7 linked regions of the Neurospora crassa OR74A genome follow. The protein of the gene in region 2 purifies or fractionates together with the protein of the main gene of each other region. This does not show direct contact. Links are inferred from orthologs where the notes say so. Each region holds a gene or a part of one and is shown on either strand. Other genes may lie near its edges. The genes, in order: NCU04348, NCU07011, NCU09437, NCU08668, NCU03952, NCU09843 and pod-5.

Region 1 (4,092 bases), about 1.2 Mb from region 2:
TACTTCAGCATCCTGTTTCTCGTCCGAGAATCAGAGATGGAGTAGATGGGAAGAGACTGGAATCGGCGCCAGCCGAGGGAGAAGATGAGGGGATCTCCCGTCTTGAGAATCTTCTTGTGCCAACGGTGCTTCTTGATTCTAACTTGCACAAAGCCGAATCTGTCCTCCGTGGCCGAAAGACCTCCGACAACGATCGGCATCCGTGGCTTAAAGTTCTTGACGAACTCTGCTGGGACACCCTCGATGACCATCCTGGCGTACTTGCCGGCCTTGTAGCCTTCGACAGCGATCCTTTGGCTTTCATCAAGGTTCTCGTATTCCGCCTTGTTGATGTCGAGCTGCTTCTGGATCATGGCCTTTTGAGCATCATACCAGTCGTCCTCTCCAAACTCGTCATCATTGCCACCTTCTCGCCTGGCAATCGCCTTGTCGTTCTTGAAACCTTCACGATCTTCCTCTTCGAAGCGAAGCTTGAGCTCCTCCTTTCGGCGGGCGTTCTTCTCACGCTCGGCTTCAAGGCTTTCTGCTGGCTGCTCCTCTCCTTCCTCCTCTTCTTCTTCTTCATCCTCGTCGTCAGCGCCGTGCTTCTCCCCTGTCTCGAGATCCTCAAAGGCACCGTCACCTTCATCATCGTCGTCCTCGTCATCAAGACCCTCGAAATCCGAACCATCTTCGCCCTCGCCCTCAGCGTCGTCAAGTAGGTTGGCGGTGGCGAACTTGTTTCGGAGAGCCTCGACAGCGTCCTTGTCAGACCACTTGGCTTCTAGTTGTTCGTAGTCGAACTTGGGAATCATGCGATCCTCCCAAGAGTCCTCCTTGTCCTCCTTGCCAGTCCTCCGGAAGAAGGTTTCGTCGTCCTCTTCGATATTCTCTTCGATCTCCTCCTCGTCGTCTTGACCGGCCCATTTCTTGATGGCTTCTGTGGGGGCCATCGACTCGTCGTACATGTACCTCGCCAAGTCGACAGCGCGGAAGGGTTTCCTCCTTCCGTGTATCTGACTTGCGCGCTCCATTATGTTGTCCTTCCACTTGAGCTCAGGATCCTCCTCGTCGTCCTCGTCATCGTCAAAGTCGGATCCTTGGTCTTCATCGCCGGATATCGAACCAAGGTCGGAGTCACTGTCGGCAAAGGCGATGTCCTCTTCTTGGTCGTCGTCGGTCTGTTTCCTGAACATCTTGCCCAGCTTCATCTCGTTGAACTCGGACTCGACATCGGATCCATCCTCCATCTCATCTTCCTCTCCGCTTTCGAAGCCTTCGTCCTCTGGCGGTTCACCACTCTCACCATCGGCAAGTCTGGCGGTTCTTCGGCTCTTGCGGCCAGTGTTTCCGACATCCTCGTCCTCGACAGGGAGCTGGTTGATCTTTTGTCCGCTCGCGAACAGCTTGACACCCTCGTCCGTTTGACCAAGGAGACGCCTCTCGTTCTGCAGGTCGATGATGAGCTGTTCTCCTTCGCCGCGCTCAATGCCCACAGCATCCTTGTCAAATGTGAAGCCGTTCTCCCTAGTGATAACGATGTGATCGCCAGTAATTTTCAAGCCGCTGCGGTCCGCCATGGGCGCCCAGAGCTTTTTGTCCTTCTCGTCGAGTCGCCTTCTGCCAGTCTTGCCACTGGCCTTGGCCAGCGCTTGTTCCATAGCGGGAGTCGGGCAAGGATCCGGCAATTGTTCCATCTCTTTGATTGTAAAGTCGCCCAAACCAGCAATATGTACCCTTTGGCCCTCGGCGGAAAAGTTTGTACCACGGAGGTAACCGGAGAGTTCAATCGTTCGGTCGCATTTCTCGTCTTCTTCAATCTGGGTGGGGTGGGTGACATCGCGGTAGTTGTCGATGATGGTGTAAGGGTGGGAGTTGCGCCAAACGAGCGGGCGGGGGTTCTTCATGACGGACAAGAAGCGGGAGAGGTTGTGGATTTCGCGATCGGGGTAACGGCCGTTCAGGACACCGGAAAGGTAGAAAAGGTGGGCACCCTGGTAGAGTTCGCTCCAAAGTCTGTGCTTTAACCTCTTCTTTGCCTCCTTTAGTGCTTGGGGCTTCCTGAACAGGTCGAGATGGGTGAGGATGCCAAAGACGTTGCCGGGCATACCCGTGGCGGCAAGAACGTTAAGGAACTCCATAGTCTCCATTTCGAAGCCGAAGTTTCCATCGATCATGAGAAGGACAATGTCGGCGACCTTTGCAATATCGACCATGGCCTCGAGTTCGTTGGCGCATTCGATGAAGGTCAATCTCTGCTTCTTGGAGGTGACGACCGTGATAGGTCCCACCGGATCTTGGATGGTTTCCTTTGCATATCGTCGGATGAAAGACTTGAGAAGGGTGGTCTTTCCTACGCCAGGGGGGCCTACGATGGCGACGAGTCTTGGGGGTGGTTCATCGGGGAGACGGTCGACGGCGGGGACATGAAGACGCTTCTCTTTGATCTGCGGAACAAGACCAGTTAATTATAAGAAGTCATTGAAGGATGGAGCGAGGGAATGTCTTCTTACATCGTGGGATCTGGCGGCTTGTCTGGCGAGTTTACCAGGATTGGAGAAGGCAAAGGCCTTGGGGTTCTTTTCTGCAGGGACGGTCAGCTGTGGATAGTAACGATAAAAGAAACAATTGAATACACATACCACCTGTATGCTTGGAGGCCCCCTTCTCCTTGGACTTCTTGGAAGCCCGATGGGGTTTGTGGGCTTGGACGTCGGCCATGATTACGGCTGGTGTCCGTGAACTTTTTGCAAGTTCAGTAGTATAGATGGACACGCGGTCGCGAAAACAGGTGCAAGTGGAAATGCGACGGGACTCGCTCCCAATTCAACTGCTGCCAAAAAGCTGCTGTCCAAATTTTTTGGATAGTCGGTTTTCTGATGGAACGCCAAGACGTTTATCGATAAGCGATAAGATACCTGAATAGTGGGACCTCTTTCCGCGGCAGGCGACGGGACCTATCCCCGGCAGCACCCGCTACTAAGCAGTGGCAGCATGCGGGGAGTTGGAGACCCTGACAGGCAGTCCCGACCTTCAAGTCTTGGAACCTTGAACAACAGACGAACCCAACGTATAGTCCCGTTTCTTATCTTCAACCAACTACTGGGTGAGCTGTGTCTTCGGAGTAACTATTTCCAAAGGTTTATACGAAGATATTCCGTTGGGTGGTTGAGATATCTTGTGCTGTCTTGAGCATGACCAACCTAACTACCTCTATTGTACCAAGCCCTCCCTCACTGGTGGAGACTACATACCACGCTATGTAAATGCATTGGATTGTTCAGGGACCTCCCAACAAACGGTTGAAGAAGAGTCGAGACCATGAAAGAGCTATCATAGTTGATAACTTGCGGCCTCGACATAGGAACGTCGAATGGGCCCGCAAAGTCAAACAGCCATGGGCCATGGCAGCCCTTCTTGCATAACACACCATTTTGAGGGTTACATACGTAATTGTCGCGGGAAGGAGGGTTTCCGATTTACACACATGAGGAGGGTATGGCGTATAGGCTAGGCTCAGAGTTACAACAGATAGGTAACAACATCCAAGATCCTGAGTAGCAAGATGGTCGGAAGATGACTGGATCCATCCTCCCACACCACTCCTAGTGTCTCAGCCCGCGCCTAAGCGCTCGTTAGGTGGTTGTGTGCAAGGCTGTCTTGTTGGGCGCTGAGATGAAGGATTGTCTCTGTCATCCCCACGCCTGGCAGCCAAAAGAGTGTCACAAGTCACAAAACGACCTGCGGTAGGCGCAGCAAGTCTGGTCCAAGTGGATATGACGTATCATCCGCTCCAGAGAATGCTAATGTCCCTGGTGCCGCGTCACTTGTGGCTCCTGACGGCGTGGCAGGAAGACCAATCTAGCATGATTGCCGCTTATCTGGCACATGTGCATCTGTGGTGTAGGTAGTTCGAGTCCACTTGTGCATGTCCCTTGATCACGTATAAGATGCTCCTTCGTCCGCTCCTCGAGACGCAGTACCGACTTTCCAAGTTCACGACCAACCACTACACTCTGTTTCAACATTTCCATACAGCAACACCAACTTTTTCACCAAACAACCCTCCCACCACCGCAAAGATGCCTTCTTACATTGTAAGCATGCCGCACT
Region 2 (3,949 bases):
AGCAAGAGGGAAAGGCGGCATGTGGGCAATTTCCATAAACGGACCCGGTAGTACCTACTAGTCCCAATTCTGAACGTCTACGTGTAAGTGCATCTGGATCCCACCATTAGTTCATTCCCTTACACCGGAGTTTTGGTAGCTCATGGCAGAAAGGCTGGCACTTTCTCGGGTACTACATGGCCATCAACCGAATGAATGGTCGTTAGAATACACTTTTCATGCTACCTTTGGAAACTAGACTAACTCTCAGGCAATTTTGCATGGAGAAATTCCCAGGTAACTCTGGCTGATGTCTTTTCGACTTTTTTTTTTACCATCCCTCTCGAAATTCTGTGATGGCCTTTCCTGACTAAAGCGAGCCGTGTTGGACTGTCTAATTCGGTTATATTTACAGCCACTTCGTCGTCATAACTGGAGGTCCAGTCTCTTTCGTCATTGGCGTGCTTGGATAGACACAGGAAAAAAAAAACCTCTCTAGTGATCGACAATGATGGACACCAAAGAGCCCATTGCGCGTTGACTACTGGTACCAGAAGGTGGGTGTCATGCCAAACTAAACCCTTGCTGGCGCCCTATGATATACTGCGATAGCCGCAGAGAAAATCCAGAAGAACGCTGAAGGTGGGTGTCATTGCGAACCGTATGCCGTGGTACCTCTATGGGTGGACGACCTGAGGTGGGTTCGATGGACGGGATGATGACGCCGCAGGCAACCTAGCATTTCGACGCTGAAGCGGACAGGGGATGGTGATGCTGTGCTGTGCTGTGCTGTGCTGTGTTTCACAAGCAAGAGCTTTTTCGCCCAGTTGGCGGGGCAGATGGAGGTGTGGGGTTTACTGCAGTTTGGAACACAGTCTCGACTTCTGCGATGATGGGAAACGGTAATCCCGGTAACTGAAAGGCTGCAAAATGCGGCCGGGATCGCAGGAGGTTCCTACTATGCAGTACACAGATACACAGTGCTGGATTTAAGCTCTGTGGGTCCTAGCCAGACGGTGGTCCCACATGCGTCCAGCTTTCATGCTACCCCACATGGCGAGGCAGACCAATCACATGAAGCTCCCACTTGCCTGCCCCAACCGACCCCAAACTGTGGCTGAAAATTTCTGGTCCACCGCGACAAGGCTACTATTATCGAAATCTTCAAACTGCGACTTTCAACAAGGCTTTGCAACTGAAAGGCATTCGCAGACATCGTGGTAGTTGGCAGCATATGCCACTCGACGACATGATGCCGCATTCCGATCGCGAAATCACATCCGCCAAGCGGCAGAAGCTCAATGCCTCTGTCGTCAAGTCCAAGGCGCCTCAGAAGAAGAAGAAGGGTTCCTCCATCTTTGCTCCCTTCAGAGTACGTCCCTAATAGCCGGTCGCATGAAGTCCTCAAACTAACACCAAACTCACCACTCATAGACTGTAGGCTTGGTATCTCCAACAAGCGTCCCCTTTACCTCCATCCCTCTCGGCAAGACCACCTTCCAGATCACTACCTCGGTCGGCCGCTCCCTCCAGACCTATGACCTAAAGAGAGGTCTCAATCTCGTCTTCGTTACCCGCCCCCAGACTCCCGCCGACATTACCGCCACATATGCTTGGAAGGAAAAGGTATTCGCCGCTTGGGGTAACCCTCAAAATGGCGAGGCCCAAGGTATCTGGGTTTATCAGCGCGGAAAGAAGGTAGCCGAGCTTGAGCTGCCCGCCGACCTCAACCAGCCCATCAAGCAGATCCTCATCTTCGGTTCCTGGATTGTTGCATGCGCCCAAACCCGCCTCGAAGTATGGAAGTCGGCCACCCTCGAACACTACACGACCATCTTTTCCGTTGCCGCAAAGAAGGGCGACAACGAGCTCACTGGTGGCGTAGTCAACATGCCTACCTTCCTCAACAAGATCTTGGTCGGTCGCAAGGACGGTTGGGTAGAGATCTGGAACGTCAGCACCGGCAAGCTCATCTACACCATCCTTCCGCCCTCTCCCGACGCTGGATCTGTCACCTGTATGGAGCCTACCCCGGCACTTTCGCTTCTCGCCATCGCCTACTCGAACGGCCCTCTCGTCATCCACAACGTCCTTACCGACAAGGCCTCCCTCAAGTTGATGGCCGGATCCGAACACGCCCCCGTTACAAGCATCTCCTTCCGAACCGACGGTCAGGGTGCTGGTCAAGATGGTACAAAAGATGGCGTCATGGCTACCGCCACAAGCATTGGTGGAGATGTCACATTCTGGGATCTCAACAAGGGCGGCAGAGTGATGGGTGTACTCCGGAGCGCCCATAATCCCCCATCACACACCGACAAGACTGTGCGCGGAGGCATCAGCAAGGTTGAGTTCCTCCCAGGACAGCCCGTTATCATGACCAGTGGTTTGGACAACTCGCTCAAGTCCTGGATCTTCGACGAATCGCCCTTCTCGCCCGTCCCCCGTATCCTTCACATGCGCAGCGGCCATGCCGCCCCCGTCAACTGCCTGCAATTCTTGCCAACCGATTTCGATGGCGCCGAGGCCGGCAACAAGTGGCTTCTCAGTGGTGGCAAGGACAGGAGTCTGTGGGGCTGGAGTTTGCGCCGCGATGGCCAGAGCTCTGAGCTCAGTCAGGGTGCTCTTCGCAAAAAGGCCAAGAAGGTGGGTATTCTTGCTAATACCGCCCTCGGCGGCCACGGCCCGACTACATCTTTGGACGACCTCAAGGCTCCCGAAATCACATGCATCGCCTCCTCGCTCAACCGCGATGGCGGCATGGGCGCTATGCCCGGTAGGCAGGTCATCTGGGACAAGGGCAATGACAAGAGCAAGCCGACCAAGTCCGAGCTCGCTGCTATGACCGGCTGGGAAAGCGTAGTAACAGCTCATAAGAACGACCCCTGGGCTCGCACCTGGTTCTGGGGCCGCAAGCGTGCTGGTAGGTGGGCGTTCAAGACCGGAGATGGCGAAAATGTTTCTACCGTGGCTATCAGCCCTTGCGGCAGTTTCGCTCTTGTTGGCTCCGTTGGTGGTAGCTTAGACATGTTCAACCTCCAATCCGGCCGTCACAAGCAACGCTTCCCCTCCCGACTCACTCCCGCCCAGATGCGCCAGTTGAAGATGCAGCAACTTAAGGCTCTCGACAAGGTGAGCCAGCTCGAGAAGCGCGCCTCCTCCAAGACCTCCTTTGCCCCCGGCTCGGGCAAGCACACCAAGTCCGTAACCGGCATCGTGGTCGACCCGCTAAACCGCTTCGTGATTTCCTGCTCTCTCGACGGCACCGTCAAGTTCTGGGACTTTGTCACGGGCAACCTAGTCGACGAGATTGACTGGGCGCCCATGGTGCAGATCACGGGCTGTCGCTACCACGCCGGCAACGATCTCATCGCTTTCGCGTGCGACGACAATTCGATCCGCGTTGTCGACATCGAGACCAAGCAGACCATCAGAGAGTTCTGGGGCTGCCGCGACACCATTAACGACTTCACCTTCTCCAACGACGGCCGGTGGATCGTGGCCGCCTCGCAGGACCGCGTCGTCCGCGTCTGGGACCTGCCGACGGCTCACCTCATCGACGCCTTCCGGCTCGAGAAACCCTGCACCGCCATCGCCTTTTCCAACACGGGCGAATACCTCGCCGGCGCCACCGAGGGCGAGCTGGGCGTGCACATCTGGACCAACAGAACGCTGTTCAGACACGTGCCGACCAGACAAATATCCGAGAAAGACATTGCCGAAATCTCGGCCGGACCTACCAGCTCAGGCGAGGGCGGTCAAGGTCTCATCGAGGCGGCCTTTGAGGATGAACAGGAGGACGAAGAAGATGAGGGCGTGTCTGCGCCGGTCCTCGATCAGCTCAGCGCCGACATGGTGACGCTCAGTCTGGTGCCCAAAAGCAGGTGGCAGACGCTGCTGCACATTGACCTGATCAAGCAGCGCAACAAGCCCAAGGAGCCGCCCAAGGCGCCTGAGAAGGCGCCCTTCT
Region 3 (4,262 bases), on a different chromosome or scaffold from region 2:
GTTCATGAGCGGATCGATCTTGCGCCAGGCTTCGAGACGGGTGGCGATGGCGGAGCGTTCGGACGATGGCATGTCGCTGTTGGTGTCGACGATGAGCGGCTCGGAGCGCCAGTCCCATCTGCTGACGAAGAGGAGGGCGCGGAGAAGGCCGACGGAAGGGGAGGAGGGTGCGTCCCAGGGGTAGGGGCTCAAGAAAGTCTGGAGGGCGACGAGTTCAATGAAGTCGGGGGTGAAGTGGGAGGCGAGTTTGTGTGAGGAGAACCAGTGTTTGAGCAGGCGGACGGTGGGCGAGAAGGCGGGGAAGCGGGTGGCGAAGGTGTTGATGGATTGAGTGTGCAGAGGGAGGTGGTAGTAGAGTCTGCGGAAGTTGGAGAGGAGCACGGAGGCTTGGTGGCGGTGGTGTTGGTCGATGGTCTTGTCGTGCGATTGGCGCGTGAGGAGGGCCTCTTCGAGGTCAGAGTGGATGCGCAGGCGGAAGGCAGGACCGGACTCGTAGACGATGTCGAGGTAGGCGAGGTTCTCGAGTTCCGTGTTGGTGGTGGTAGAGGACTCGAGACCGACGTAAGAGCGGACCTCGCCGGGCTTGGAACGCTCCAGGAGGTCGCCGATCATGCGCAGGAAGGCGATCTTGGTGCGTTGGATGGCCACGATGGATTCGGGCCACTTGCCGGAGGCTTCAAAGGAGATGACGCATTCCAGGGGGCGTGGGCCGGATTTGTTGACGGTCGAGAAGGGCACCTTGACGGAGGCGTGTCGCAGTTCGGGGCAGATGGGGGCTATTTGCCTGACGTGCAGCGGCATGTCGTCCAAGTCGCGGATATCCTTCTCGAAGGAGGAAAAGGCCTTGCGAGCGGCGTTGAAGACGGAGGTGTCGGTCGGCTTGATAGGAATCAACTCGGTGAAGCCATCGCCGTGGAAGGTGAGCTCGTCCTCGAGGTAGCCAACGCGAAGATGGAGCTTGAGGATGTAGCGCATAATTTCCTCGCAGAGGTCAAAGGGGGAGGTGGACGACCAGATCAAGGTCTCCCTGATAGAATCACCCTCGAACCGACGAAGTTCCGATTTCTCACCCCAGAACCGCTGGAACTTGGCGCATTCCTCCTTCTCCTCGTTGCTAGGTCCAGCGGCCGGACCGCGGTCGACAGAGCGGGTCATGTTGGCGGCATTGAAGAGGACACCAATCTCGATTGTGTGGTTCTGCTTGGTGGAGGGTTTCTTGGTGAGATCCCAGGATGAGCTCTTGGGTAGTTGAATGTGAATCGACCGAGCCCTTTCACCTAGTTCTTCGTCCTGAAGAGCCCGCTTGAGAACCCTGTGCACCTTGTCGCTGTATTCCCATAGCCGTCCCCGGCAGTCAATCGGTTCTGTCTTGTCCTGCTTTCCATCGTAGTTGAGGTGGGCAATGAGGTCGTAGTTTTGCCAGGGGAGGTCGGCCTTGAGGATGAAGGTAGGGGTAAACTGGTCGGCAGTGCTGTCGTTGAGAAGGCTCCTTGTCCACTTGGCGTGTTGGTGTAGCTTGGCCGCAGACCAGTTGCTCATCTTGAAGGCAACGTTCAAACCACGAACAGCGTCGAAGAGAACCGGACCAGTGGTTTCGGACTCGACGGTGGCAGTTCCCAAAACACACGGCTTCTCGGACAGGTTAGTAACAGACAAGAACTGGACCATGGCCTTGAACAACTGGGTGGCGCTCAGGGATGTAGACAAGGGCGCATGTCCCTTGGTGCTGTCGCCGCTTTGGAGCAGAAGGGCCAAAAGTACCGCCCATTCAAAGTGACCAAAACCACCGTCCGCCATATCGCTTCCCAGTCCTCGTTGTTGCAACCACACCCGACCCAGGATGCAAGCCTTCTTGAACGCGGCGCATTTCTTTTCGGTTTGTCGCAAGAGCTTCAAGTAGGGAAAGAAGCAGGACTCGGAAACAATCGTCGAGTTGTAGAAGGGCGTAGGCTTGGTCGCGGCCTTGGACTCGTCACCGCCAGCTTTGCGCACGAGGGTAGCGCCCAAGTGAAGCTTTGATTTGGGGAAGAAGTTGTCTGGGGCGCAAGGGATGATGCGCACTCTGTAGTCCAGCTGGCCCTCCTTTTTTTCTCCTTCCACCTTTGGTTTCAACGACAAAATGGGGGACAGGGTGTTCCCATTCAGGTATTCGTATGAAAGCTCTCCATCATCAGCCAGGTCCTTTTGTAGGGCAGCAGCCACAACACCGAGGAAGTAGGCTCTCTTGTAAAAGTATCGCAGGTCGAGGTAGTCCTTCTCTTGCAGAGTCTCGCCGGGGATCACAACCACCATATCCACAGCATGGCTCTTTTGGGCCTTGATCATGGTCTTGGACACATAGCTGCCGACAACGTTGAACTGGGAAGGCTTTGCGAAGGCGACCTTGTAGTTGGACTTGTCGGACGGGCGCGGCTCGGGGAACGGGATCGGGATCTTGTGTTTCTTTTCGAGTTTGGTGGCAGCCTCGGCGATCTGGAGGGCATCGTGGGCTTCGATGGCTTCGATGGAGCCCTTGATCTTGTGGAGGAGGGAGTCGACGCCTTCGAGGGCCGTGGCATAGTCGAGCTTCACTTCGTCGACGAGTTCTTCGGCTTCGAGGATGAATGCGCGGCCACGCGAGAGACCCGAGGAGGCAGCGGCGTCGATGTTGCCAACTGCGCTTTCACCGCCGCGTGAATGGCCAATCTTGCGTCGTTTTGCTGATCCGGGTTCCATTGTATGTGTGGCGGTGGTATAGGTATATGATGGTGATGGTGGAGGAGGATGTCCTGGGAATGGAGACAGGAAATTGATAGTGACAAGACACTGAGAGAGAGAGCACTGAAAGCCAAACAACAGTGGACCGAGCGTCGTCCCTCCAATTGAAGTTCTGCAAATTCGAGTCTCGTTCAAGTTTGCGACGGGAATTCCCAAATTTTTTGAGACTCTGGAGCTCCGATAAGAGATAAGAGGTCAATCCACAAACAGGGGCAGTGGAAGACCCGACAGGGGCAGTCGGGTGGGGCAATGTTGGTTGGTTGCCCCTGTGGGGTTCAACTGACAGACAGTGAGCGCCCGGCCCTTATCTCAGAATCAGACCCTCTTTTTTAGGCATGGGCGGCCTGCGGCCGCTGGGAAAGTGCGCTGCGCGCACATCTGGCCCGTGCGCTGCGCGCCCGGGGTTCTCAAAAAAAATAATAAATTGAAAGTTACTAAAGTTTCTAAATTGTGATCCGTGTACCCATTCTTTTAGTATACTTTCCGGTATTGAATAAGAACGCCTAAAAAAGAGGTTTGAATTCCCAATTAGACTAGAAGCGGATAGGGGAATTTATATTGATAAACTTCTAAGAAAGATAATATAGCGTTAAAATAAAACAATAGATTTAGGTTATACAAAAGATATGAGGAGAAAGAGTTCGTTGAGACGGATTTAATGGTATTATTAATTTTTTTCTACGACTATTGAAAGTATTAATTATTATAGAAAATGTAAAAACTTTACGTAAGTCCGTATATTCAATGCCTAGTTAGCTATATATTACAGTACGGCTTTTTATCCCAATACTATAAAACTTTGTAGGTATAGATATTATACGACTATTAATATAGTAGTATAGTTTTCTTTACTCTATAGTACGTTATTTTTTTTCCTTAATTTTTTCTATCCTCTATAGGTATTAATACTATAGATCCTAATTTCGATCCCTCCGTTGACCCCTAGCGTATATTGCGGGTAATAAAAGATATTATTAGTAATAGTAAAGACCCTCGAAAAGGCTAGGTTAAGGCGGTAGTACGGTTGGCGTACGAATAGAAGGATATAATATTAGTCGCAGTAATGGGCTACGGAAAAAGTATTGTCCTATATATATTTTTAGCTTTATATAATAAAATTACAATATAGATTATACTGTTAATTAAGTTTGGAGAAAGTTAATATAATAATATTATTACTAAAGTGCTAGATTTAAAGCTAGTATAGGTAAATAAAGATGTGACTTTAAAAGTAAGTATTCTGCCCTTTTTTACGAATCTTAAGTACCTTTATTAATTTATATATAGAACTGGGATATTTGGGACTAAATTTAATGCGGCGATTATACTTATATTCTATTGAGCCCGGAACTTACGATAAGTACGAAATTTAAGGCTGTATTGCGGTCCCTAGAATTCTATAAACGGATTAGTCTTTTCGCTATCGATAAATTATATTGCGTATTAGAATAGTGTGATTTTAGAAAGGAATTTTAGTACTTATATACCTTACGACCTTTATTACC
Region 4 (3,319 bases), about 740 kb from region 2:
CACGCCCAGCACAGCAACTAGGTTTCAAAAGGTATATATGTTCCCACAGGGTACAGCCATCCTCGACCGTTTGAATACATGCATGGAAGAACTTGTGCATCTGATCTTCACTCAAATAACGACAAGAGCGGTCTTGGCGGATATGCCCGATGATATAGTTTGACCAGGACGTATATTGGAGTATGGTGTCCAGGCGACGTTTTGAGAAATGTTCGCAACCTTCCTCATCTACGTCAAGCATACGCTGGATGAGTCCTTGAAGTATGCGAAGGGCGTAAGTCGGGTGAGTCGTTAAATATGATCCCCTTTTGACAGCATTTGCGACAGGACAATTGGTGAAGTTGTATCGAGTGTTGACCGTATCGTCAGGGGCACTCTTCCTCGTGGCTGGGATTTGGAATGTGCTCATGGTGGGCCAATTAAACCAAACGCCGGCCGGTTTCTGTGCAGCGTCGATAAGTAGGGATATGACAAAGTGACGGAAATGGAGATGCTCTCATAGCAAAAGGAAATCAGGTTGGGTATCAAGATGACTGAAGGCAGAAAAATATATACAATTGCCTAAGGGAAAGAAAATCAACACCACCCATCTCTAATGTCTCGGAGTCGCTTTGACGACAGAAATCCCACAGGTACATGAACGCTCCGTGTCTCAAACCTATTGTTCGGGGGCCAAACGAGAAGGTTAAAAGATCTTGCTGAGCACTCTTTGTACTTGCTCGGGCTGTGTCTCATCGAGCTTCCTCTTCTTGGCCAAGGGTATTTGCTTGAATGTTCTCCTCTTATCGTCGTTTGTTGTCGTCGTCGTCGTTGCCGCCGCCGAGGGAATAGTAGATTCTGTGACTTGGGCGGCACCCTCACCGCCCGCTTTGCTGCCCTTGGACGCCTTCTTTGCCTGAATGCCCTGCAGCACCTTGGCCCTCTCCACGTTGCGGACGAACTCCTTGTTTTCTTTGGTTGTCTTGGAGATTTCGGCGCGCATTCTGCTGGATCGCTCGGCGTTCTCAGCAGCGATTTGTTCGGTCAGGTTGTGCCACTTGAAACCCTTGAGGTAGAGCAAGTTCCAGATATCGTCGCGGTAGTAGGATCCCTTCTTGCCTCCGATTGGACGGGCATTGAGGAGTTCGCATGCCTTTTTGGCGTCTGCAAACAAACGGGTTTTCTTGTTAGCGTCTTTGTACTTGGGTCTCAGCGAGTCTCACGGAATGAAGACCTACCCTTCTTCTTGACAAACTCAATCCAGCCTTCTGTAAACATCTTCTTTTTATTGCCTCCGCTGCGAATGCGCTTGCGTCGCGCAACTGGGTCCTCGGGGGCCAGGAAAATGCGATTCAACTTTCCGTACGGCTCCAGCAGGGAGCGCAACTTGGCAGGAGTCATGAAAGGTGGTACCCTGGAGATGTACACCACTCCCGACTTCTTGATGGCCTCCTCCGTGACGATGAGATTCTTCTTTGTGAGAGGCTTCGTCATGCCCGGAAGGTCACTCGCTAGTACCGACTTCTTCTCCTTCTCCTTCTTTCCATCCTTCTTTTCCTTTCCATCTGTTGTTTCCTGGCCGTCCTTTGCAGGTGCATCCTTGCTTTCAGCATCATCTTGGTCGTGTTCCTCCTCTGCGTCGGTAAAGTCGTCGGCTTCGCTGTCCTCGTCATCGCTCACTCTTCTGCGCTTGGCGTTACGGCCACCCTTTTGGAAATCATCCTCCGAGTCAGAACCGTGGCCCGCATCGTCGTCGCTATCGCCAGCATCGAGGAACTTGTTTCTGACATCGTCCTCCGGCATTGTCGATGGATGATTGACTTGTGTTTCTAATTGGTGGACTTTTTGTTGTATGCTGAAAGTTTCGTAGGTTGAATGATTGGGTCGTTATGGGGAGATTTAGGGCAGTCGGGTGTTTGTTTGCGTTGGAGAAGGATCACGACGCGATTCGCAAGTCTTCTTTTGGCGTGGAAGCGCTGGACGGACATGGCTGCTGCTGTTTCTCAAAATTTCTGGCTCCACTGGGGGCCACAGGCAGGAAGGGACCGTGCACGCAGGGCCGATAAGAGATAACAAAGTATGAATGGGAATGGAAGTTCAGGTTGGCTGATCCCGTCCCCGCCTTAGGTTCCTTCCGAGGTGGAGTTCATACACTGCAGACCCGACCCCGCGCTGCCAACAACTCTTTATCTTATCAAAGCTCCCCCGGCCTGCCGCCGAGAAACGGAGCGGGAGCCACTCTGTGTGCGGCAGTGTGATGTCGTGTTCCTGTTTGTTAGTGAGACGGCGACGGGAGGGGCGACATGGTGTCATTGGGTCATGGGAATCAAGTCGGTTTGCTCTTTTCTTCTTGTGGAAGGTATAACGAATTATAGTACTAAGTACTAGAGTAACTGAACTGTGTCTTTTCTTTCCCTTTGACTCGCTCTTCCTCCTTGTGACAACCAACACTGCATCCCACTTCACCATCCTTATCACTCGATACCTGGCCGATAAGCCTACTTGTAACAATGTCGGTCGAGGTGATCACCACCATCTCTCCCACCACGGGGGAACCCATCATCACTCGCAATGGCATTTCAGAGGAGGAACTCGTCCAACTGCCCGAGACTGCCTTCAAGGCCTTCCAAGGATGGCGCACTACCAAGTTGGAGGACAGACAGATCATCGTCAAGAAGGCCTTGAAGTTGCTGGCCGAGAAGCAGGATGAACTTGCAGAGGAACTCACCGTCCAGATGGGCCGCCCCATTGCTTATACTGCCAAGGAGGTTGCCACTGCCATCAAGCGCTCAGAGTATCTGCTCAAGATCAGCAACGATGCTCTGAAGGACACCGATGGCGAGGAGGAGAAGGGATTCAAGAGGTTCATCCGAAAGGTGCCTGTTGGTCCTGTTCTCATCATCTTTGCTTGGAACGTAAGTGGTGTCCATCATGTTGTTTTGACACTCCATCCGTCACCTCTAACTTTGCGCAGTACCCCTATCTTATTCTCGTCAACGCCTTGATTCCCGCTTTATTGTCTGGAAATTCGGTCATTCTCAAGCCCTCGCCTCAGACACCCACAATTGTCGAGCAGGTGGCCAAGGTGTTTTCCGAGGCTGGGTTGCCCGACGGAGTCATCCAGTACTTCCACTCGGGTTCGCCGACAGTGATTGAAACAATTGTGCGAAACCCCAAGATTGCCAACATTTGCTTTACCGGCTCGGTTGCTGGTGGCCTGGCCGTCCAGAAGGCCGCGTCCGATCGCATCGTCAACGTCGGCCTCGAGCTGGGTGGCAAGGATCCTGCATATGTTCGCGGTGATGTCGATATTGCCTGGGCTGCCGAAGAGATTGTCGAC
Region 5 (4,278 bases), on a different chromosome or scaffold from region 2:
ACAACCCGACCTTTAAAGCTTGAAGGCACCACTCGACGTAGGACCCTTCTGCTCCGCGATCTTCTTGCCATCCAACCCAACCGTCTCACCCTTCCGGTTAATAACCTTGACACCGCCCTTCTTGAGCTGGCTCATCGTCTCCTTGCGTTCCTGGGCACCCTTGCTGATGTTCTTGTTCGCATCCAGGCCGCCGGCCTTGCGGATGCGCTCCTTCTCGCGTCTGCGTCTCCTAGCCTTCTCCTCGCGGCTCATCTCCTCCTTGGCAATCGGCAGGCCGCTCTTGGCCACGACCTCGCCCTTCTCGACTGAGTCCTTGCCGGGGGCGTACACCTCCTGGGGCGCGAGCGTGCTCTCGCCACCCGACACACCCTGGGCCGTGGTGGGCATGGCGTCCTCCATGGCGACGGTGGCGACGTCGGTGACAACGCTGATGGTGGGTGCGGCGGGTTTAGGCTTGTAGTGCCAGCTGCTGAGGGCGTCGAGCTTGGCGCAGATGTCCTTCCACATGTTCTTGATCTCGGCCTCGTCGCGCGTGAGCTTCTCGTCCGAAGCGCTGACGTACTCGTCCGGGTTGGCCTTCTTGATGTGCTCCTCCTCGTAGATCTCGGCGAGAGACTGCTTGCCCTTGGTGTCGTCGATCTCAACGAGACCGCGGCGCGCGTTGTTGGGGTTATTGAGGGTGTCAGGACGTCTCCTGAGAACCTCGTCGAACTCGTTGGCAAGAATGCGGCGTTTGATGAGCGCCTCAATCGTCTCGGAAACCTCCTCGGTAATGACGGGGACAGGCTTTCCGACATGCTCAAACTCGAGGTCTTCCTCCAGGAGCGAGTTCATGGGACGAGCTTGCGCGGAAGCCTCACCGGACAGAGTCCAGGCGCGCTTGGCAACTAGCTCAGACTCGAGCCTGCGGATCTCCTCGGCAATCTTGGCTTGTCTGCGCTCGTGGGCGGACCGGCGAGATCTCGGATCACCAGCATCAAGATCCGAGAGCTTATCTTCATCTTCATTCTCCGAGATGTCGTCGAAGAGATCGCGGCGCACATCATTCTCGGCTCTCTCCATATCGGCCTCATCTGGCTGCTCAAGTTTCTTGGGGAAATAGCCTCCTTTCCTTTGGTTGCCGGTCTTCTTCTTTTGAGGTGGCGCGAAGAAGTCCTTGTAGTAAATGTCGTTGGCGGTAAGGTCCATGTCCATACCGAGAACACCATCTGTAAGGCCGAGATCGTCGCCATCGTCCTCGAGCTGCTCCACGTTCTTCTTGCCCTTGAGTTTCTTGGCGTGGGCGGCGGCAGCAGCCTCGAGGGCCTCGTCGTCTTCGGATTCATCGCCCATGTCGACGTCGTCCTCATCCTGGTCTTCGTCCTTCTTCTTGTCGCTCTTGCCCTTCTTTGATTTTGGCTTTGTCGCGAAAGGATCGGCGTGCCAGTCTAGCTGTTCGTCGTCGCTGTCGGCATCGACGTTGGGGTCCGCACGGGCATCCGCGTCCTCCCACAACTGTGTCTGCCGGTTGAAGTCGTCTATTGAGAAGAAGCCGTCGTTGAGGCCGTTGGGATCCTCGACAAGTTCTGGCGCATCCTCTTCCTCTTCTTCTTCTTCTTCTTCTTCTTCTTCTTCCTCCTCCTCCTCATCAAACTCTCCTTCTCCATCTTCGTCCGAGAATTCAACCTCTTCGCCATCGATCTCGATTTCTTCATCGTCGTCGATCTGGCTGCCCTCTTCTCCTTCTAATTCTTCTTCGTCATCCTCCTCATCCTCTTCTCCTTCAGAGCCAGAACCAGATTCGCTATCAGCATCCTCCTCATCGTCCTCCTCCTCCTCATCAGAACCAAGCTCAAACCCATCCTCTCCAAACTCAATGGTCTTCTCTTGTTCCTCGCCGGTGCCCACAATCCCGTTCTCCTCCAGCTCCTTCAGCACATCGCCAGCCTCCTTTGTGGCGCTGGCAATGATCTTCTTGGCCTGCTGCCAAATCTGCTCCGTCTCGAAGCCGTCGTCGACGTGCAGCTTGCGAATCTTGAGCACGGCATTCTTGTCATAGCCAGCCTCACGCTTGCGCTTCTTTCCACCGATGGTGGCCGCGATCTCTTTCAGCTTTGCCTGCTGGTGGTCACTGACCTGCGAGGCGAGCGCGTCGAGGGTCTCCTTGGCGAGCAGGAGGGATCCGGCGGGAAGGGTCGAGGGCGGCTGCAGGAAGACGTGGCGGTTGGACTCGTCGGCCAGGGCCGAGAGGAAGGAGGCGACGACGGGGTTGTTGGCAATTGTCGAAGGAGAGGTGCTGCCGCTCGACGATGCGGCGAGGGTAGCGGCCATGACGCTGTTGTGTGTGGAGGGGTCGTGGGTGATTGTTTGGGATGTCGAGGTTACGGAAGAGGTTATGCTGCCAGCTGCCATGTCTGTTTTTTAGGTAGGGTTGGACTAATGCTGTAAGAAGATCAATCAAGGCTAGGGTATCGAGGCTGGCCTTGTCATACAAGTGTCTGACTTGAGGGTTCAATATGGACGCTTGACTAAGAAATGGCAGGGCGTCGGTGTTTGCCGTTGCCCGTACCAAAACAAAAAAAAGTTCGACCTGACGATGTTTGGTTGCCAGCCGGCGATATTGATGGACCAAAATTTTTTCTGCCATAGCGCTCTCCAAGGTCCAGGAAACGGCGAAGCGTGGAGGCAGGCGTCCCCGCACCAGCTTATGGGGCTGGCTGTGAATTGACCAATGATGGGTGATTCTGCTCTCTGGAAATGGAAGTAGGTCCCACTTCTCTTGTTGTTAAGCTTCAGGGCGGTGCACCGCTATAAGACGAGGTTGCCTTAACACTTATAATCGGATGACAATGTCAAGTAAACAAACCACAAAGTGCATGCAGTCTCAAAGGAGATGCTCGACATCAAGCTTGAGAGAGGGGATGAATTCACAATGACCTTTTTTTAAATATAGCATACGCTAGCGAGTTACTCTGAAGTTACTGGAAACTCAGTAAGCAATCACGCAACGATCTCCAGTGCTGTTGGATAGGTGAAGTCGCCGTTTCGACACAGGCACCTAGCTTGTTATCAGCACTTCCTTATCTAAAATTCCAGACTACCCTATCAATCCCATCAGCTCGTACATAGTCTATTGTATCTTTCGCCGCTTCACTTTCGTCGTAACTGGAAGTTTCTTGTCAAACGGTAAAAGGTAATTAAATTGTGCAAGAACTGTAAAATGTTAAACCAACGATTAACCCCATTGAGGAAGAGCGCTAGGTTTGCCTCATACTAGCTACATTACAGTATGCTTCTCGTGTTCTTTTCAACATCGTAATGAGATCTCTGCGACAGACGTTGATGGACTATTTTCTGTAGAGGTAGGCTACTTACCCAGCCGGCTCTTCTTCATGGTCTGGATAACGTGCAGAGAAAGCTCTTATTACATAGTAGAAATGTAAGGGTGTTATTTGCGCACCTTCGGGGAAAGATGCTGCAAGTCATAACACTTGTTGAAGTTCCTTCACAAGCCACATCCCTATGCATATGGTATCGCCCGTGAGAATTTTGACGGACCATGAGGTATTCTTTCAAAATACGACAGCAGCGTTGACGTGCTGCATTAGGGTCTGGACCGTCTAAGCCTTCATTGAATGCAACTCGCGGGAGAGTGTCCCGCCGAGCCGAGCTGCGAGTGATACTCAAGACCTTCGTATCCCAGGCCAGGGAATTGTATCATGTTCTTTAGCGGTTGCCGAGGTCAATGTGAGGGCGATGGTGGCTTTGGTGATCCCAGCCTCTATGGTCGTGCGTTGCGTGCTCTCAATATGACCTCTTTTTCATGTTCGCCGGGAAATAACTGTGAACCTCACGGTGAAGATGTTTGCTATGTAACCACTAACTTGCTGTCGTGAACGGCGAGGATCCCATCAAGTGTCAGTGGCCTCCTGTATAGTACGACACATGAACTTGATCGCTAAGTGGCGTTGCTCGGTCCAATCGCATCACACCATCTATCTCTGCTACCTACCTAGAGTAGAATGGCCAAGTTAACGGCAACATTTCCAAAGTCGTACAGGAGGTCGCGAGAGAAGTTTCGGTTGGCTCACACTATGTAACTGCCAATCGCACACTGTTTGGTTACAGAGCTGGAAGATACGTCGAGATGGAGGGACGGGAAATACTTTTGAGTTGCCGGATGTTACCTAATTTGTCAAGCGAAGGAGATCTCCTTGTGAAAATCCGGACGGGCCGATTCATTCTTTTCTATTTTCCATATCCGCCTCCCTTCTGGCAGGCTCTATGTGAGGGTGAGAG
Region 6 (4,107 bases), on a different chromosome or scaffold from region 2:
GCTGGTTCGGCAAGCATCTGATGCTCAAACACATCTTGGGTTGATGCCTTGGCTGCAAAAAACAGAAAAGACGACGACATAGTATTATCGTGTTGGAAACCCCCCGAGAAGGGAACGGCTCGCCATTGAGGCGGTCTTCAATGACAGAGTGGGACAGCAGTTCTGGTCGGGCTGTCAACAGTCAGCCCTAGGAAGGCACTTGGAAAAGCAGGCGTCAGAGGCAGACCGGGAGTTCTTTTCGATGTCTGGCCAGATACCAGAGGGTGGTGAGTGGCTCACCGGAGAGACTCTTTCTGTATCTCATTCTATTCTCCTAGTCAGGAGGGAGGACTATGACTAAGTGGAAAGTTGAAGCGATCTTCAGCGAGGACTTTGGAGCGAGATGTTTACGTTGTCATTTATAGTCATAATTCTATTGGATACGCTGAATGTTGACACTGCAATAAAGCTCTTGATCGTGGTGGCGTCGTCCAGAAGAGTCCATGGTCACGCAATAAGCCTGGCATTTGGAATGGCTTTTACTGATTCTCCTAAGGTATCTATCTCGAGGTATCTAGTCCCAACCCCTTATTTTATGTGACCGTATGTATACTTTTGTGAGCCCAGATTAGTACAAAAAGCCAAAAAAGAATGTTTGAACGCCGACGCCATGCAGGGCTTGATATCAAGAAAAAACCATGATACCTAACCGAACCAAACCGAACCAACACATCCGGGATCCTTTACCCTCTCCATTTTTTTCCCCCTTCCCCGTCCTTCCTGCTTTGTGGTATAACAACACATCCCATCCGTTCTTTACATCTTTCTTATGCTCCATCCATCCACACAGCTCATCCGTATCTTTCCATTCCCTTTCCCTTCCAACCATCATGACCTTCTTCTGGTCAAACTGCAGCCTCAAGGGCCTTGTCCGAAGCTCGCTCAGCTTCCTAAGCCTCAGCACCACCAATCATCAAACTCTCCACCATACCATTCGTGATAATCGCCATCTGCGCCTTCTCCACCTCCCTGCTCACCTTACCCGTCATCACAGCAAACTGATCCGCCAACTCGGAGCTGCCGCCCACGTACTCGCTGTAGATATCAAACAGCTGGAACGCCACGTCCACGCACACGGTCGCGTACCGCGGATCCGAGATGTACTTGATGACCCACTTCAACAAAGGCAGGACAGTAACTTCGTCGCGGCCTTCCAGGGCTTCGCGGAGGGCAGACCGGTGGCGCAGCGCCACCAACACGGACAGGGCCGTCACGGGCTGGTATTCCGGAGAGGACAGGTCGAGCACGGCATCCAGACAGGCGGCGTACCGGCCCTCGCGAAAGTCGCGCTGCCACGGCTTGAGCTTGACGCGGCGCTTGCGGCCTCCGGCGGAGTTGGGCGCGTCGGTGGGGATGATCACGTCGACGTTTTCGCCGAGCAAGGCCATGGATTTGTTGGAGGCGGCGTTGCGCTTGCGCTTGGCTTTGGCGGAGTCGATCTTGGCGAGCTTGGAAGAGGCACCTGAAACCATGAGCGCGTCTTCGGCGGCGCGGGCGCGGGCTTTCTCCGCCGTGGCGCCTGACAAACGGGTGCGCAAGGACAAAACGCCGGATTGCATGCCGACTGCTAGGTGGCGGTCTTCGTGGCCTGAGCCAGCGGCGACGACGGAGAGAGAGAGGATGGGCGAGGGGTACTTGGAGCCGGAGACGACGTTCCAGTTGGTGGTTTCAAAGACTTTGACGTGCCCGTCGAGAGAGCCGGAGACAACGCGGCGGCCGTTGGAGGCGAGGCTGAGTGACGTGACGGTCTTTTGGTGGTTGGTGATGAGGCGTAAAGGTTTGGCGGCCACGAGGTCGAGGACGGAGATGGCGGAGCCGGTGGCGGCCAAGAGGGTGGTGCCGCCGGGCAAGGGGAGGACTTCCTCGATGGGGTCGGCGTGCTTGAAGGTCAGCACGGAGCCGGCGGGGGCGCGGGCGTCCCAGACGCGGACGGTCGAGTCGTAGGAGCCGGACACGAGGAGGTTGTTGCGGTCGGGCATGAAGGCGCCGCTGCGGACGTAGTCCTGGTGGCCGGCGAACAGGCGCGAGGGCGCGTTGGAGGGCAGGTCCCAGAGACGGACCGTCTTGTCGTCGGAGCAGGACATGAGCGTCGTCAGCTCGGTAGGTGACCACTTGGTGACCCAGACGGGCTGCTTGTGGACGTGCCAGGTCTTGAGGATGACGGCGCGGGTGCCGGTGCCGACGTCGAAGACCTGCATCTTGCCGGAGTCCTCGCCGGCTACGAGGACGCGGCCGTCGGCGCGGATCTCACCGCTGTGGGCCTGGGAGTCGAAGCGGCCGATGGTCTTGAGCAGCTCGCGCTTGCGGATGGAGAAGATGTCGACGCGGGGGCCCGAGGTGACGGCGAAGAGGTCGTTGGTCTTGGCGGCGGCGACGAGGGAGTGCGAGGCGGCCGAGCCGTTGCTGGAGCCGGGGAAGCTGATGTGCGAGATGGGCCATGCTGCCGTCGAGGTGTGTGATTTCTGGTTCTTGAAGGACTTCCAGTAGCGCTGCTCGGCCGTGATGGGGCTGACGACCGTGGGCAACTTGAGCGTCGCCAGCGGCTGCACTTCGGCTGCCATGGTTACGGATTGGTTATGGGTGGTAGGTTCGTTCCGTCTAGTTCGGGTAGTGTTGAAGAGAGGATACTCGGTTATCGGAATCGGGGGAAGTCGATTAGGGTCGAAATCGGATTGGGGGAGGGAGGCACGCGTCGAGGTCTTGTCGTGGTGGTGACTTTGCGGGGCTCAAAGTTCACGAATTGTTGAAATCTCCAAGTGGGAATTTTAGTTTTTTTGACGGCGATGCGATGCAAAAGCCATTGGTTGGAGCCATCGATTGGAGGCCCCGCCAAGCCGATAAAGTTTACCTACAGCGACTAGGTACCATAGTGACCAGCCCCAGGCCAGAAAACGCCAAGCTTCCAGGGTCCCGTCCTCTTCACAAGTTCCTTCTTTTGATTGGTCTGCTTGGGCTTCCATGTCGTGTGAATGTTTGGCGTTATCTTATCGTGCTGCATCCCCGCCGTCGTGATTGTAAGTCGTGTAAGTTGTCGCCTTTATCAACTGGAGACAGTCGACTGACATATAATTAATTGACTGGAGTAAAAATCCAAGAGTATTTTGATGCATGACACGCTCATTGACAATCATCATCTCCTCGGTATGTGAATCTATGATTAACATGTCATTAGGGATGTGTATCTGGAGCATTGGCCTCGAAATGGTAGCGAGTTGGTAGTCTAGTAACCTGTTGCTGACAACAACAACAACAGCGTGCGTATTGATGATGACTTGAATGTTTTATCTAGCCACAGATGTATTTATAACGAAGCGCGTATGAAAACTACTTGAACCATGAGCTAAGCTTAGAGTGAAGACGGAGAATATCAATTACAAGTCACAACCTTTTCTCTTTACACTCCATTCAGTCAATAACAAGCGCCTGGACAACTCGTATGAAACTGATAACGGTTTGTGCAACAAAAACACCAACGTCACAAGCCGGCTACTCGCAGTTTGTTTTTTTTTTTTTACTCGTGACTTTGAGATGAGAAAACAAAATCATCAAGAGATGAAAAGAAAAAGAAAAAAAGATCAAACTTCGGAGATCATCAAACGCGCTGGCTGCTCGTCGTGATGGAGAAAAGCAATGTGAAACTCGCTTCTCATCCGATCACATGATTAATTTCTTTGTCATGACTGCAACTCAGTTGCCGAGCAGATGAGGTTGAAGACACTGCACCCCCGAGGCGGATGACCGACGAAGGAGAAGGAACACAATGAAGTCTCAGGGCCACCAAAGTGTTCAGGTTGTCAAACTGAAGTTCTAGTCTTTATCTACAATCTGGTGCTTTAACATAGTTGGATAGTATAAGTTATGACGACGACGACGGGGAGGCCCGCTGATACCTACCCATACTGCTGCTGCTGCTAGAGACATGGTACTACTCCTACTCGAATTCTCCTTGAGACCTAGGCCTAGAGGTTTAGATCACGGCTAATTCATGATATAGATACAAGAATAGCGGACAGAGACATGCCGTGTATCCTTTCATTCCTTTTTTTATTTATTTTATTTTCTAACACC
Region 7 (4,241 bases), on a different chromosome or scaffold from region 2:
CCATTTCCTGCAAAGTATACTCAACAAGGTAACTTTCATCCACCAGCTCTTCTATGCGCTTATAGTGCCTCTCAGTATACACCCTCAACGCGTTGAGCACCTCCTTCAGACTCTTCTGTCCCCTTGCGCCCTTGACCGACAGGTTGGAGAACTTGTTGGCAGGGTAGAGTCGGACGAGCGCCCAGAGGATGCGCTGCGCCACGGGCGCCGTGCGCGCATTGGTGTTCCAGTCGCGCAGCCTCAGCAGGAGCAGGAAAATCTGCTCGTCGGAGAGGTTACCAAGCACCTGATCGACGGCCTTGATACCGCAGAGAGAGCCCTCTTCGGGGGCGTTGGTAGTGACCACGTTAGTGAAGATACCCAGGAGACGACCGGGGTGGTTGAGCTGCAGCGCCAGAATGATAGCGTCACGGTAGGCGCCGGCGTGGATGTAGTTCTCGAGCTGCTGCTCCTGCTCGACGAGCTTGAGGGCGGCCGAGGACGCGGCGGCATGGGTCTCAGCCGAAGTGTCCTTCCAGAAGGTTACGCGGGAGTCGGAACCACCAGACACAAGCATATTGGTCTTGGGGTGCACCGTGAGCGTCCAGAGACGGTCTTCGTGGTTATCGAGCGTGCACTCGGTCTCACCAAGGTTGGCGTCCCAGACCTTGACGAGGGAGTCGGCGCCCGCAGAGGCGAACTGGATGCGCTGCTTGGCCTTGGAGGCGGCAGCAGCAGCCTCGTCTTCAGCGTCGTCAGCGGCCTTGGGAAGGCGCAGCCAAACAACCTTGAGGACGTTATGGGAGTGGCCCTCGAATGTGCGCAGACAGGTGTAGTCCGAGAGGTTCCAGAGCTTGATGGTCTTGTCACCAGAACCCGTCAAGATTACACCCTTACCGGAAACAGCAGTGCCGGTCTCGCCTTGAATGGCAGGCATGCCCTGAGGCGCGAACCGAACCGTCCAGACACCCCTGCGGTGACCCTTGAGGATACCTACGACTTCTAATGTTGCGGAATCCCAGATCTTGACCGTCTTGTCTTGTGATGCCGAGGCAAAAAGCTTTCCGTTGGGGCTGATGTCGAGAGCGTTGATATCCTTCTCGTGGGCTAAGCGACGGAGACTGGTTGAGACGGCTCCCTTTTGTGATGTTCGGGGAATGTCACGCTTCTGAACGAACCGATCCTGGGAACCGGAAATGAGGAATGCGGGCGGGTGGTCGAGGGGGTTCTTGAACGCCTCCGAGTTCTCGGGAGGTACGATCTTGGGGAGTGCGACAGCGCCGACAGACTCGATGTGGCCAGTGAAGACTGCATAGCACTCGAACGAGTTATTGGCTGGGTCAACCCTCCAGAGGCGAGCTGTGTTATCCTTGGCACCACTAGCAACCCAGTGGCCAGACCAGTCTACATCGAGAGACATGACAATATCCTCGTGTCCCTTGAGTAGAGCTACGTCATGGCCAAAGTATGCCGCGCCCTCCTCCTCGTCGCCCAGCTGGGGCTGCTTATCCGCCACGGATACAAGTCTGATATCTTCGGAGTTGGTTGCAAGAGCCATGAGAGACTGATCGGGCAAAAGGTAAACAAGGTCGAGAATTTCGTCGTGTGTTCCCGAGATGCGCCTGAAGGGTTCCAGAGGCTTCGTCGACTTCTTGGTGGCATCGGCGACCGAAGGTGTGCGGTAGAGGGCGAGGGTGAAGTCAGACTGGGCGCAAACAACAAGGTTCTTGTGGGGAAGAGCAAGGGCTGACACTATCGACTCGGCTTCCGACTTGGCGTCTTGCTTTGCTGTGATTTCTTGGTGTGTGGTTGTGTCCCATAGCCTAAGTAGGCCACTTGTTCCAGCCGAATACATCAAGCTTCCGTTGTTGAGGAAGCCGACAGCTTCAACGCCTTCATGGCGCAACATGGGTGTTCCCCTCCATGTCCCCTCCTTCCACAGCCATACTGTCATTGTCTTATCTCTGCTACCGCTGAGAAGGGCATGTAGTTCTGGTGAGTAGTCAAGGCTTTGTACGTTGGACTCGTGCGCTTCTCTCCTCGAAGTCGGGTCGGCGTAAACGGGGTAGGTCTTGCGTTTGCTGAGGTCAAAGATGCGGATCTTGCCGTCCTGTGTGCCGTAGGCAAGACGGAACTTTGAAGCGACGCTGTCATCCTGAGCTTGCTCCTCCTCGGCTGTGCTCTTTCGCCTGTTCTTCTTGTTCTTGTTGCTGGCTTGGTCCTCGAGAGCGGCAATCTCGAAGAAGTGGAGGGCAGAAATAAGGACACTCGGGCCGCTAACGGTATGGGTAACGTATCCTCCGACAATGTCCCAGATCTTGATGGCGCCGTCGGCAGCACCGGTGGCAAGAAGGGTGCTAGTTCGGTCGACCGCGAGAACCACGACGGGGGTGGCGTGGGGCTTCGTGGTGCGTACAAGGGTGGCTTCGATGGAATCGTAATCTGGTGAGACCTTGAGGGAGTATATGCGCATAGTAAGAGAACGAGAGCAGACAATCAGGTGGGAGGCCGAAGGGGTGATGGTGAGGGTCGAGATGGGCTCTCCGTCGCCCTCGATCTCGGCGAGCTGCTTGCCGGTGTTGAGCTCTGTGAGGACGGCCTGCTCGCCGAGGGTGGTCGCGAGGATCCTAGCGCCATTGTCGAGGGCTACGGAACCTCCTGTGAAAATGGGCTGGATGACATTGTTGACCTCGAAGGTCGTCTTGGTGGTGGTTTGCCTGTACGCCATTGTGGTGACGGAGTGTCTGGCTGTACAAGTGGATTAAATCAAACAGAGAGGCAAGGAGGGTTGCGATTGCGCGCCGCCGCCTTTGGGGTTCTGCTGTTAGAACGTCAAGTGTAGGGTGGTACACTGCAAAGTCCCCAATCCCAAAAACTTTTCGCGGGTCGCTGCCTGCCGCCCGCTGATAAGGCCAGGCAATAAGGTTATCTTAGCGCCATGCAGATCCAACCCCTGTAGGAATCCGTGACGAACCACGCTGGAGCACTGGAGCAACTGGAGCATGACCCTCCCTCGGCTTTCTGTGCTCCCCAATCGCCCCCACCAACGTCAACTGTCTGTTCCAGTCTCCATCACTCATCAGCTATACCACCACTATCTTCACCATAACACAATCTCTGGCACAGGACCTAGTTTGTTACACGAGGATGGCCACTGACTGGTCAAATTTCACCGTGTAATGTACACATAAACATCTTGGCAATGCCGGATAGTAATCTACAAACACCTCCTGAATCCAGTTGACCCTTTCACGATGCGGTTGGGCCCACTGACATCACAGGCCCTTGTAAGTCATCGTTGCAAGACTTTCGGGCTACAACTTCGTTCTGACACTAAGGACAGGGCCGGTCTCCCTACGATGAGGTAGTTGAGGGCACTGGCGAGCCCCAACCCGGGGCCCCAGAGCAGTTGTATGATGACCGAGGACGACCAGTGAATCCAGAGACACGGCGCATCAACAGAGACATCATCCGCTCTCACAACGAGGTTATGCTGGTCATCGGCGTTGCCGAACCGGACAGTGGCATCAACGAGGCCCAAGCTCTATACGAAGCCGCCACCAAGCACCAGTACTACGAAGATGGAATTGGGAGGAAGCTGTTCCTCACCGGCGAGGTCTTGGCCACCGTCGGAGTCTGGGGAGTCAACGGCTTGAGGCAGCGTATCTTGCTGTACAAGGACTACGCCCATGTTCCCTTTTCTCGTCTATTTCACTTTCACAGGCGCCAGCAGTCATGGGGAGAGTACCTCTGGGCCGGGCTGCCATCGTATGTCCTGAGCGATAGTTTTGCTGGATTCGACATGCCAGAATACCCATGGGTCAAGTACGTGTTCTCCTGGGTCAACTTACACCTAGAGATCTTCGTCTTCATGCAACGAACCGGCCTTGTGAACACCTCGAGATGGGTTCCCACCCTTGGTTTCTTCATTCCAGGCTGCAATGACTCCCCAATCTTCCTACCAAAACTCCCATCCTCCTTTACCCCTGGAAGCATCATCAGCTGGCTCGGCGCCTTTGTCGCCGGTATCGCCCCTTTTGCCGGCTACTGGTTCTTTTCAAAGACATACGCCCGGCTCGTCTGGTCACTTAGGCGGAAAATCCAACGACGCTTGCCCAAACCCATCAACTTCAGCAGGAGGAGGACTCTTAAGGAGGTAGTCCCCTATTTACAACCGCCCAGTGGAACATACATCCCTCCCACACCCACACCAGAAGAGCAGCAACAGCGACAAGAAACTCAGCCACGAACACCGACACCAA

Evidence for each region.
Region 1: the proteins of NCU07011 (region 2) and NCU04348 purify together in Saccharomyces cerevisiae (affinity purification with mass spectrometry; 3 studies listed by BioGRID). This does not show direct contact. The link is inferred for Neurospora crassa OR74A from reciprocal best matches to the Saccharomyces cerevisiae genes UTP21 and BMS1.
Region 3: the proteins of NCU07011 (region 2) and NCU09437 purify together in Saccharomyces cerevisiae (affinity purification with mass spectrometry; 5 studies listed by BioGRID). This does not show direct contact. The link is inferred for Neurospora crassa OR74A from reciprocal best matches to the Saccharomyces cerevisiae genes UTP21 and UTP22.
Region 4: the proteins of NCU07011 (region 2) and NCU08668 purify together in Saccharomyces cerevisiae (affinity purification with mass spectrometry; 3 studies listed by BioGRID). This does not show direct contact. The link is inferred for Neurospora crassa OR74A from reciprocal best matches to the Saccharomyces cerevisiae genes UTP21 and ESF2.
Region 5: the proteins of NCU07011 (region 2) and NCU03952 purify together in Saccharomyces cerevisiae (affinity purification with mass spectrometry; 4 studies listed by BioGRID, with this or other methods). This does not show direct contact. The link is inferred for Neurospora crassa OR74A from reciprocal best matches to the Saccharomyces cerevisiae genes UTP21 and MPP10.
Region 6: the proteins of NCU07011 (region 2) and NCU09843 purify together in Saccharomyces cerevisiae (affinity purification with mass spectrometry, with the first as the bait; 4 studies listed by BioGRID). This does not show direct contact. The link is inferred for Neurospora crassa OR74A from reciprocal best matches to the Saccharomyces cerevisiae genes UTP21 and UTP15.
Region 7: the proteins of NCU07011 (region 2) and pod-5 purify together in Saccharomyces cerevisiae (affinity purification with mass spectrometry; 6 studies listed by BioGRID). This does not show direct contact. The link is inferred for Neurospora crassa OR74A from reciprocal best matches to the Saccharomyces cerevisiae genes UTP21 and UTP13.

The regions. Positions count from the first base shown.
Region 1 is NC_026504.1:3,692,681-3,696,772, reverse strand, and holds the start of NCU04348 (ribosome biogenesis protein), read right to left. Parts: upstream 2,801-4,092; 5' UTR 2,701-2,800; coding exon 2,622-2,700; intron 2,564-2,621; coding exon 2,493-2,563; intron 2,427-2,492; coding exon 1-2,426. Other genes in the region: NCU16822 (hypothetical protein), read left to right, coding at 3,930-4,076. UniProt on the Saccharomyces cerevisiae protein: GTPase required for synthesis of 40S ribosomal subunits and for processing the 35S pre-rRNA at sites A0, A1, and A2.
Region 2 is NC_026504.1:4,898,662-4,902,610, forward strand, and holds the start of NCU07011 (WD repeat containing protein 36), read left to right. Parts: upstream 1-1,149; 5' UTR 1,150-1,213; coding exon 1,214-1,351; intron 1,352-1,413; coding exon 1,414-3,949. UniProt on the Saccharomyces cerevisiae protein: Involved in nucleolar processing of pre-18S ribosomal RNA and ribosome assembly.
Region 3 is NC_026507.1:182,558-186,819, forward strand, and holds the start of NCU09437 (hypothetical protein), read right to left. Parts: upstream 2,801-4,262; 5' UTR 2,716-2,800; coding exon 1-2,715. UniProt on the Saccharomyces cerevisiae protein: Involved in nucleolar processing of pre-18S ribosomal RNA and ribosome assembly.
Region 4 is NC_026504.1:4,159,950-4,163,268, reverse strand, and holds NCU08668 (pre-rRNA-processing protein esf-2), read right to left. Parts: upstream 1,957-3,319; 5' UTR 1,783-1,956; coding exon 1,218-1,782; intron 1,144-1,217; coding exon 686-1,143; 3' UTR 501-685; downstream 1-500. Other genes in the region: NCU08669 (betaine aldehyde dehydrogenase 2), read left to right, coding at 2,490-2,894, 2,954-3,319. UniProt on the Saccharomyces cerevisiae protein: Involved in the small subunit (SSU) processome assembly and function, and in the 18S rRNA synthesis. Required for the early cleavages at sites A0, A1 and A2. Stimulates DBP8 RNA helicase ATPase activity.
Region 5 is NC_026506.1:2,220,895-2,225,172, reverse strand, and holds the start of NCU03952 (U3 small nucleolar ribonucleoprotein Mpp10), read right to left. Parts: upstream 2,801-4,278; 5' UTR 2,392-2,800; coding exon 13-2,391; 3' UTR 1-12. UniProt on the Saccharomyces cerevisiae protein: Involved in nucleolar processing of pre-18S ribosomal RNA. Required for the early cleavages at sites A0, A1 and A2 during 18S ribosomal pre-RNA processing.
Region 6 is NC_026505.1:5,923,452-5,927,558, forward strand, and holds NCU09843 (WD repeat containing protein 57), read right to left. Parts: upstream 2,783-4,107; 5' UTR 2,601-2,782; coding exon 930-2,600; 3' UTR 501-929; downstream 1-500. UniProt on the Saccharomyces cerevisiae protein: Involved in nucleolar processing of pre-18S ribosomal RNA. Required for optimal pre-ribosomal RNA transcription by RNA polymerase I together with a subset of U3 proteins required for transcription (t-UTPs).
Region 7 is NC_026505.1:1,894,631-1,898,871, reverse strand, and holds the start of pod-5 (polarity defective-5), read right to left. Parts: upstream 2,801-4,241; 5' UTR 2,708-2,800; coding exon 1-2,707. Other genes in the region: NCU03627 (hypothetical protein), read left to right, coding at 3,234-3,266, 3,323-4,241. UniProt on the Saccharomyces cerevisiae protein: Involved in nucleolar processing of pre-18S ribosomal RNA.